2 linked regions of the Drosophila melanogaster genome follow. The protein of the gene in region 1 purifies or fractionates together with the protein of each later gene. This does not show direct contact. Each region holds a gene or a part of one and is shown on either strand. Other genes may lie near its edges. The genes, in order: E(Pc) and CG12054.

Region 1 (5,138 bases):
TTTTCGTAGGAGGCCTCATCGTTCTTTCGATTTTTGCGGGTTTGCATTTTCTCGGTGCGACGACGAAAAGCCAAGTACGGATTGTTGGAGCTGGCGCCTGGTCGACTCTCAGTTTTCACAGTGAGGATCAGCGGGTGTTGCTAGAGAATGAATAAGATAGTTGATTTAGTATATTGCCGTAGCCAATAGCCAAGCTAAGTGTTTATTACCATCTTGAGGCGTTTGTTCAGCCAGTAATCGTAGACGGATATGCTGGTCTCGTCGTCCTGGTTAAGCAGCGACTTGGCCTCGTTCAGCGTGACCACCGTTTGGCCGGAGCTCTTTTCTAGCCGGTCCATCATCTGCTCGAACTTGAGTTCGGTAAGCTCCAGGCGCTGCTGCTGACTGAGCCAGTCCTCATCGGCACTGTCCATGTCGTAGTCAGGGACCTCGGTATCCAGCCCAAGAGCTGAGAGTTAAACAATTGTAAAAAATTAGTCCAAGAATAATACGAAACTACATAAGTTATTGCATTTCATTCAATATTGATATGGAATTTAAAAATAATGTTCTAAGCCCGAAACGAAACGAATTATTCTGCTCTAGTAGTTGCTTTTTGCTTACGTTGCATGTGGATCATTTGGCGGGGCATTTTGTAGTCCGGCGGATAGTAGGCATCGTAGAAGGGCTGATCCGTCTGCAGCACCTCGGGCGTGGGGATGATCAGACCCGTGCATATCGCTCGCTGCAAGTGGTGCTCCTACAAGGGATAAGGGACAAAATTAGTTTCATCCAAAATAAAGGATCACTGAGAAACTTCCTACCGACTCCTCCTCCTTCTCCATGCCACTGGGCATTTGAGGCACTGCCCGGTTGATGGCTGAGTACTCGGGGAGGTCGGGCAGCTCCTCCGCCAAGTAGATGGGCATCTGCTTGGACGGATCCAAATGGCGGGCTCTGAACGACAGCTTGGACATCTTGCTGGCTTTTGTTTGGGTTTTGGTTGTGGGTGGTTTTGGGTTGGGTTGTTGTGGTGTGTGGAACGTTTCTATTTGCTGTTGCTGTGGCTGATTTGAGAGTTTGCCTAGTGGAATCGACTGCTTAGGTGGCTATGGATGCTAAGGAGGCTACGATTGCTCCGGCGGTCCAACTGCAGTGGGCAGGACTAGTGCTGCAACTGCTAATTTGGATTCTGGAGGATCTACTCCGATTCGTGGTCGGCGTTGTGTTGGCTCCTCTACTCGATGTCGAGGGGGCTGTATACGTTAGCTGGAGATGGGGCTTGCTGGGGTAGAAAAGGTGCTGCTGCTTCTGATCCTGTTCCTGTTCCTGACACCGATCCCGATCGTGAGCACCGGGGCTGCGGTGGCTGTGGCTGCTCTGCCAGCTGGTTAACGCAGCCCCTGTGCCCGTTGCCCTGGCCGAAGACGTAGTGCTACTGCTAGTGAGGATTGGGTGTGGATTGGCGACTATGTAGGGCGTGTCCTCCTCCTCCCCCTGGACACTCTCCCGGCGGTCCGCCTGCCGCTCGTCCTCCTCCTCCGCCTCCCTCTCCTGTCGTCCTCCTTGATCCTCGGGAGCTCTGGCTGACAGCGCCGACAGCAGGACAATGGCCAAGGAAACGATCTGGTGGCAATTACGACGACAACGCAGTGGTAGCAACAACAGTGACAGTGAATGCAGCAAATGTGTCGACGACATTTTTCACGTTGAAATCGAAGGTTCTGTGTGAATTGGCATAATTACGTTCATCAAATTTGCACATTTCAGTTCATCATCGTTTTAGGTTAAATCAATATTGTGTTCTTCTTTCTTTTGCTTATTTGTTGACTTCCTCTTCTTGTTATTATTTATTATTATTTCGCCTTGGCTGTCGTGTTATCGGTTGGCTGATAAAAAATCTAGAATTGATAACAACAACAAAAACTAGTAAGTAAACAACTCTCACACACACGCATACATTGATATGTGAGGGCGGCGCGCGCGGGAAAAAACTCACAAATCCACATACATTTGTATATTTCTTTGCTTTTGCATTAAATTAATATTAACACGCACAAAAACACGATCCGCATGAGTCATGATTTTTTTTTTTTATTTAAATGCGATAAAATGCAAAATCATAGAAAGCCGAGACGAAGAAAAAGGCGGCATAAACAAACACACGCGCGCAAACACACATCTCAAACAAACGCGGCGAATTTAATACTGCCTTTTCCGCGAGATATTTCACTTTGCAGAGCCCTGTTAGCTAACATTTTGTTTGTACAGAACTCTGTTAAGTGAGAAAAAAAAACGCAATCAAACTCCGCCTCATGTGGGTTTTGTTTTTTGCTTTTATCTAGTTAATTAGTAATCAGCCATCGAGTGCGTATGTTTTTCTGGGCCAGCGCTAATTTTTTACACACTTTACCGCACTTTTCATGCATCAGCGAACGCAATCTGGTTGATAAATCGCCCGAAAAATTTACACATATAAACCCGATTTTGCGTATAGCGTGGTTTCGCTGGAAAGCAATAATGGCGGCCAGAGAGCCGAACACCGACGACGCCGCGGACAGCGGGGCCGCGATTTATTTGTGCCGTCGGCGGCGATAACGATAAGCGGTCGTCGATTTAATTGCCGCAATTTCACTGCAGGGCCCTGTCATATATGGGCAAAAATTAAATATTTACTGCTAGAATTTTTAAATTGCTCTAACATGACGTTTTCCTTTCAAAATATATATTTCAAAACCGCTACGGTTATCGATTAATCGCCGTTGGCAGCGCTAAATAGCCGGCCTCTTATTCCGATGACACTCCGAACAGTTTGTCAGCGCCCCCTGGCGAGCTCTTCGAGCACTATGCCCAACGCTGCATGATTTTTTTTTCACAAACAAAAAAATCGATTAAGATTTTTTCACGCACTTTTTTCACACTCTTTGCCGGGCGTTGGGGCCTCTTATATGATTAAATGATGTGGTTTTCAGCGTATTTACCACTGCCGCACCGTTTACAGCTAAATTCAAGCAATTGGCTTAGCGCAAACGCGTATAATCGTTCTTCAGCAGCGGGACACGTTTTTACTTATGGGCGGCCATTACGAATGAAAATTCGGAGTTGTCGGAGTCGAACGAAATCGTCGCCACAGTGGCGAAATTATTTTGGCTAGGCCTCCAGGCGAAATAGTTAACCGTTTTGAGTGCGGTTTTCATCTAAATCTGTGGAATTTTGTGAGGGGTCGCATGCATACATTTGGATAGCCGGGGCCAAGCTGCATTTATTTATTTTGTTGTTAATTTACGCAGCCCCATTCACCAGGTGCCCAGCTAGTGGTGTGCAAATAATTCGGAGTGCTCATGCGCTAGTGCATTTCGTGCGAGCTATCGGAAACACTCACAATTGCGGCATCGGCAAAGATGTGCTAACGCATGGGCTTTAACATTCGAAATTTATAAAAAATTGTTAATTCAAATTTGTATTTACAACTTGTTTGCTGAACAGTCGACATTATAGATATAGTTATTAAATGAGTAAAACAATTTTTGTTTTATTTTGTGTGCTGGATAGCTTAGAATTTTATTTGGATTCTTTAAATTAAACTTGTGCATACAGCATACAAATAATAATAACTCCACTTTGTAACTTCCTTTAAATGCTTTTGTTTTATTATAATCTCTTACAAGGCTTTTCGTACTCGCTGTTTTGCTTAACTTTGTTTATTTGCTGGTTACAATGTCTTGATAGTTTCAAATGTGCTCGTTGACTTAAAGTTTGCTCAATTTATATTCGAGAATACGATTAAAATTTACTCGCTAGTCCTTAACAATTTGTGGGGGTAATGCTGATTTGGCCAAGCGATTTTGAATGGTAACTTATGTCGGGCATTTGTCCAGCAAAGCGAGTTGGAAGCACCTGCTTAGTAAAAAGAAAGCCTCAAAGCCTTATGCTTGAAAAGCCCCAAGCAGAAGAAGCTCGATTTGCCAAAATCCCGCGCCGATCCTCCAACGTTATTTCAGCTGCTTTCGTATCCTTAGTTCTTTGGCTTCTCATTCGGTTCGTTCGATCGTATTATGTAATCATTTTTGGGCAATGGCCGCACGGACGTTCACAATTACAGTTGGGGCGGCGACCGCCTGTGGCCATTAGCGATTTATATTGGGTAATACTCGCCGGTGACAGGCGGCGCCCGATATTTTCATCTCTACCCTCGACGTTTCAGATGCTCGGCAATGCACGCGCGCCTGCCGCCCACAAAGTGCAGGAATTCATTTTCGGTGAAAATAAATACACAAATAAAATAGTATTTGGTGGCACTTGTGGAGCGGCTGTCGCGGCATTGCGACCACTGTGGCATGGATTGCGATGGCGTACATGATGAAAAATATAGTCAGACAGTGGTGTCGTATGTGAAAAAGCACCATTTTCGTGGGTGGCTGTGGGTGGTGGGCGTGGCGCAGCTGCGAGAGAGCGAAGGCATATCTCTCTGTCGCGGCTGCGCAACCGTGTTGGTGGTTGAAGAGAGTGGCGTGCGCAGGGAGAGGGCTCTTCTTCTTCAGCATATTACAGAATTAAATGAAAATAAGAAAATATTTTCAAGCCCCTTTGAGAGAATCCTGCGTACGCCACTGGTGGAATTTGTGGCGCGTGCGCCACTTGGTGTGGTGAGTTGGGGTGAGTGGGTGAAATGGCGAATTGAGGTGAGTGGCGGGAAGCACTATTTAGATGTGTGCGTGGTGAGCTGAGGTGTAAAGTCAATTTAAAATCTGAATTATCTGCTATTTTCATGATGGATAATCGAAACCGAAAACTAAACCATAACTCAAATTAAAACATAAAATCGACTGCTGATTCTTCTAGAGAGTTGGTTCTGTGGGCTTTTTGTGTCTCTTTGGTTTTTCTCATTTCCTTGCAATATTCATCAACCAATACCAATAATCCATTATGTTAGCATTCCGCTATATTGGTAAGATCTTTGATATTAATTTAGTGCTTTTTGTATTGTGAGGAATCTATGGATGTGAAGCTAAGGCCCAGCATTATCGGGCTGTTCAAACGGATTTAATATTATTCTTCAAAAACGCGCCTACAAGTAGTAAAAATTCACCATTGGTTTATAGTATATTCATGAGTCGTTTGTTGTGTGTTTCTCTAAGTGCATAGCTAATTTTGTAACT
Region 2 (4,901 bases), on another chromosome or scaffold:
ATTCCTCTCTCTTTTGCACTCGTGTGACTCATGCACTTGTTGCAGAATTTAAAAACGATAACAAATGTTTTTTCTTTTGCTTGAACATGCTGTTTTGGTTTGTTTTCATTTCGGCAGCTATCTCAAAAACTTTCCAATAGCTGTGAAGAAAGAAATTCGAGGAACACAAGTCATTGACTGGAGTCTAATTATGTTGACATGGCAAATGCAGGGACACCTTTTCATTAAAACCATTTAATAACCTTCAAAGTTCATTGAATCATAAATGGTTGGATGGTTGAAATTACTCATCTCATAAGAAATAGAAAAGTCACAGAAATAACCTTGCAAACCAAAAGTATTTCAAGGTCAAAAGGGTTTGCTGGCAACCCAACCTTTATGCGATTTTCTTGTTAAGTCCCCCGATTTATAAAATCCTCATTTTAACTGGAATAAATCCCATATAATCTCTGAAACTGTACCTATTATGCGACTGTTTAGTTTGAAAATGAATCTTGGATGAAACCAAATGCGTTTTGGTGACTCATAGTTAGCTAGAATCTTATCTTTCAGATGAAATTCCCTGGTAAAATTGCAAAAACGATTTGACAGGTGCACAGGTACATTTGTTTGGTTTACTGCGGCAGTTAGCCTTTCGCAGCTGGTTATCTAAATGCGAGTGCAGAAACACTCATAAATAAATTATCCCGGGCATTTTCGGGACCGTACAACAGGTGCCTGGCAACTGTGAAAAGGACAAACCTGAAGGTCTCGCCGCCTTTTGCGTTGCCATGACAACCGAATCGAGCCGAAACGAAGCGACAACGCCCACTGAGTCCTGATAACAGGCACACATCCATATCCATGCACCCAGCCATCCATCCAACCATCCAACCATCCATCCACTCAGGGAACCCACGCATCGAATGTCCTTCGAGATAATGAAATGATGGGCATTTATAAGCCCTAGAACAGCTCGCTCACGTAATGGATACGCAATGGATGTGGGGAAATGGGCAAACGGGGGATGCGGGTTTTCGGGGCCTCGGGCGTATTTGGTATCTGGGCCTGGGCGATTTTGGGGGTGGCAGTTGCCAAGTGGGCGTATGCTCGTGCCTGGGCTTTATGTAATGCCCCGGGACGCAAAAGGGGGTGGTGGCTAGGTGGGAAAGCCTGCCCGGGCAGCCATTTTATATGTTCAAGTGTGCGTGTGTGTGTGTTGACCGTTATCACGCAGCAGTGGCAACAACAAAACAGCTGCCAACGTAATCGTCAGCTGAGCAACCCCTCTGCTTTCTCTTTCCAACCCCTCTCTCTACGCGTGTGTAAGAGAGCCTGATTGTGCACAGAGAAAAATTGAAGTGCAAAGGGTAATTAAATAACGTGTGTACGTACAGCTTACAAAGTAGGCGAGCTCTGCAATCACCACTTTACATTGCCCCTAAAGCATGAAAATGCATTGACTTGGATGAATGGTGATCTCACTCGTTAATTTTATGTGTTTTTGTAAATAAATTACACGACCTTTAAAAAGTACCTCATTCTAAAAGCAAAAAGAGTCAACCATACAAACGTACATACATAAAAATAACTCTCAGTGTAAGACGCACGGCATGTTCGGCATAAATAAAGCCCGTTAACGGTTAAACCACCCCCAAACCCCCGTTTTCGTAATGCGGCAACACTACTGAGCTTAACTCTATTGATTTTTCGCCCTCGAAAACCCCGCCCCTCGCCATACAATCACTAAAATTAGAATTTGTTTATTTCAGCCGGTAAACACACACCGTGGAAATGATTAATTGGAAGCCCACGGGAGTCACGTGGACGGGAAAGTTCAAGTATCGATTGTGATTGTGAGTGCGTGGTATGAGCGGAGGGGGAAGGCGCATGGGGCAGACAAGAAGCGCATCTCCTCCAACTTCTAAGTTCCAACTCCGATTACCGGATGCGGATACACCTGCCATGGAAACGAACGCCAGAAACAGCCGAACCCAAGCCAAGCCATGCGGACAGGTCAAAAAAAGGGCGCTCAACTCGCCGGTTTCCACTACACCGCAAACAACAACTAGATGCTGTGCTGGCCTTCCAAACACACACGCACGCACACACACAGACAGGCGGGGTTTTGAATGGATCACCGGCTTTTTTGCTTTTGTTTTGCTTGTGCTGCGCTCTCGCTCGCACCCGCACTTTCCAGCCAGCGCACCGATCAACGAATGCTGTACGCGCCTGGAAAACAGGGCGTGTGTGTGCGGCGTGCAGCGGTGTGTGTGGGCACAGGTAGCCATTTCCAGGCTTCCAGCATCGATTTTGCCTTTAAGTGCAATAAATGCCGAATGCAAACTGCAAATCATATCGTAGAAACAACATCCAATTCACCACGAAGCCGTTCACGCACTCACACACTGACGAACTCGCACACCTCTGCCCCGCTGCGATCCGATTTGTTTTTTTATTTATGCCGCGGCGAGTAAATAAAATAAACAAAACACACCGAGAACATCACGCGACGGTCAAATGATAGCGATATTTACGGTGTTTACGACCCGTCTCACCTATGTGGGTGTCCTCGATGTGGGAAATCAGATCGCTCAAGCTCGGAAACGTGATGCCGCAGCCATTGTACTTGCAGACGTTGATCAGGAAAACGGCCATAATATATATCGTATTATCATATATATATATATATCACGTATTCCGAAGAGAACGAATGTGGCGAGTTATGTAAAAAAACAGCAACTAAATCGGGGGCTGGTCAGTGTGGCCAGGTCAGCACTGCACCGAAACGTCCATTTCCAGGGCTGCAATTTCAGCTTAGCGGCGACTCCCACCCACTTCCAATGTGCTGTGGTGAGTTTAGGGGGTTATGTGGCGTTTGATCGGGCGAATACTGTTCGTTGGTAATCAGGCGATAATAAGTCGCTTTCGAAATTCAGCAGGAGTACATGGCTTGTTTTTTTGTTAGCGATGAACCCTGCTTGTACTGCAATTCAGCTGCTTCTGCCGTCTCTTTCCCTACGCCGCTGTTCGGTGTGGTGTGTTTCGCTCCTCTGGCGTTTCCTCACACACGCACACACTCATGCGCAAGTGATGTTATGCAATTGAGGGCTGCAACATTTTGGGGGGCGTAACTGGGTTTAACTGACTTCAAATTAGCATCAGTATTATATTTACTTACAGCATTCTGTGCTTCGATTCAGTTGCATTCGCAGTTGCCGCTGGGTAATTAAAACATAATTTAAGCCGACGTGACGTAGACACAAACACCGACGTCGAACGACGCGTAACGCTGCGTTTGTGGTGGTGTGCGTGACTGTGGTGAGTTTGCACGTACCAGGGCTGCACTGCATTCTCGGGCTCTTAGCGAGTGCACCCTCCTAACTAATTTAAGTCTAGCAGATACACCTTCCTATAGAACATTAAATATTTTGAGAATACAAACTTATATTTCGATGAAAATATGCCGGCCGGCTCTAGTTATTTACTAAGGCATTATTCCATAAGAAATTATTACAAGAAATAAATAAAAAATTTTATATTGTTTATTGCGTATAGAATTATGAAAAGATGCCAGAGGGCTCTAGTCGTTTCCTTTTGTATATATAGTTCCGTAAAAATTAATGAAAACAATAAATAATAATTAATTATATATTATATTATATATTATATATAATATAAAATTACACTTTTATTTCAATTTCGGGATAGGCATACTTGAAGCTTAGCTAAGGTTTATTAAAATGTTACCATATATATAATTTTTACATATGAATTTAATATTTTCCACCCCATCAAATATATTTTAAAAAGACAGGGAAACTTAGGGCACGATGAATATTATTACAACTGAAGTCTGGTTATATTTTATATACATAATTTCATCAACTATATTGATGATAAAAATATATTTCACAATACATATGTATGTAGTTAAATAAAAGAATAGATTATGTGCATGTAAAACACAAACGATTATACATACTTATTTGGCCCTACACTTGCCAAATTCATTGAAAACTTATCTAATTTATCTAATTATCTAATTATCTAATTTATCTATTGCATTTGCTGGTTGAAAAATTTTCAGAATGACCCGTTTTTATGGACCGTTCGCCAAAGATTTTATTTTATTAATTTGTAGTATAAATAAATAAACAAAATTAGAAAGACGCAGTTTCGTGGGAAAGGGCTATTTAATTGATTCTACGTATCCACTACTGTTATGGTCACACTGCGCCTATTGTGCAAGGGCAACCTCCTATTCTAGCAAAGACTCGCTCCTGGGGCGCGTCTCTGCTGAAAATGTGTAGCCAGGACTTGCACCGTGGATTGGGTTCTCAACCAAAATGGTATTTCTGGTACTTTCCAGTATTAAATCGACCTATCGTCCTTTTTCCCAGCTCCCGCTGACGGCCACACTTAGCACCCCCCAAAAGTCAGCGAAATTGTCAAATTCGTTTTACTGTTGTGAAGGGTTCGTTCGAAGTGAGTTGCTTTTTCCGGGTTTTTCCGTCCGCTGGCGGAGCACCCCCCTTATCAGCACCCCTCTGTTGGGTAACAGCCGTGCAAACGCCTCAGATAGCCAAAAAACGCGGAATTAGTGAAGAATCGTGTGAAATTTCGCCAATTAAAGTGCGAAACGTGTTTGATAATGCGCCGCCATCTTGCGGCACACTCGCACACACACACGTGTGCCATTCTGGTTTTGCAGTGGTGTGCGTGTGTGCCTCGAGTCGTTGCGTCACTGGAAAAGTTAGAAAATCGGCAAATTCGCAGAGGAAAAGCCAGCAAATCGGTTTCAATTGATGACTGAGCACAGATCGAGCTGAGAGTCGAGTGAAAATCCGGTGCGAGGGCAGATTTTCCGCATGTTACGTAACTTTTCTGAGGCGGCGTGGGACTTGATACAATGTATTCTT

Evidence for each region.
Region 2: the proteins of E(Pc) (region 1) and CG12054 purify together in Drosophila melanogaster (affinity purification with mass spectrometry, with the first as the bait; one large-scale study listed by BioGRID). This does not show direct contact.

Annotation. Positions count from the first base shown.
Region 1 is NT_033778.4:11,450,135-11,455,272, reverse strand, and holds the start of E(Pc) (enhancer of polycomb), read right to left. Parts: upstream 3,085-5,138; 5' UTR 2,890-3,084; intron 2,505-2,889; exon of another isoform or gene 2,388-2,504; intron 1,881-2,387; 5' UTR 957-1,880; coding exon 804-956; intron 740-803; coding exon 604-739; intron 449-603; coding exon 210-448; intron 141-209; coding exon 1-140.
Region 2 is NT_033777.3:31,219,102-31,224,002, reverse strand, and holds the start of CG12054 (uncharacterized protein), read right to left. Parts: upstream 3,302-4,901; 5' UTR 3,161-3,301; intron 3,091-3,160; 5' UTR 2,638-3,090; coding exon 2,538-2,637; intron 1-2,537.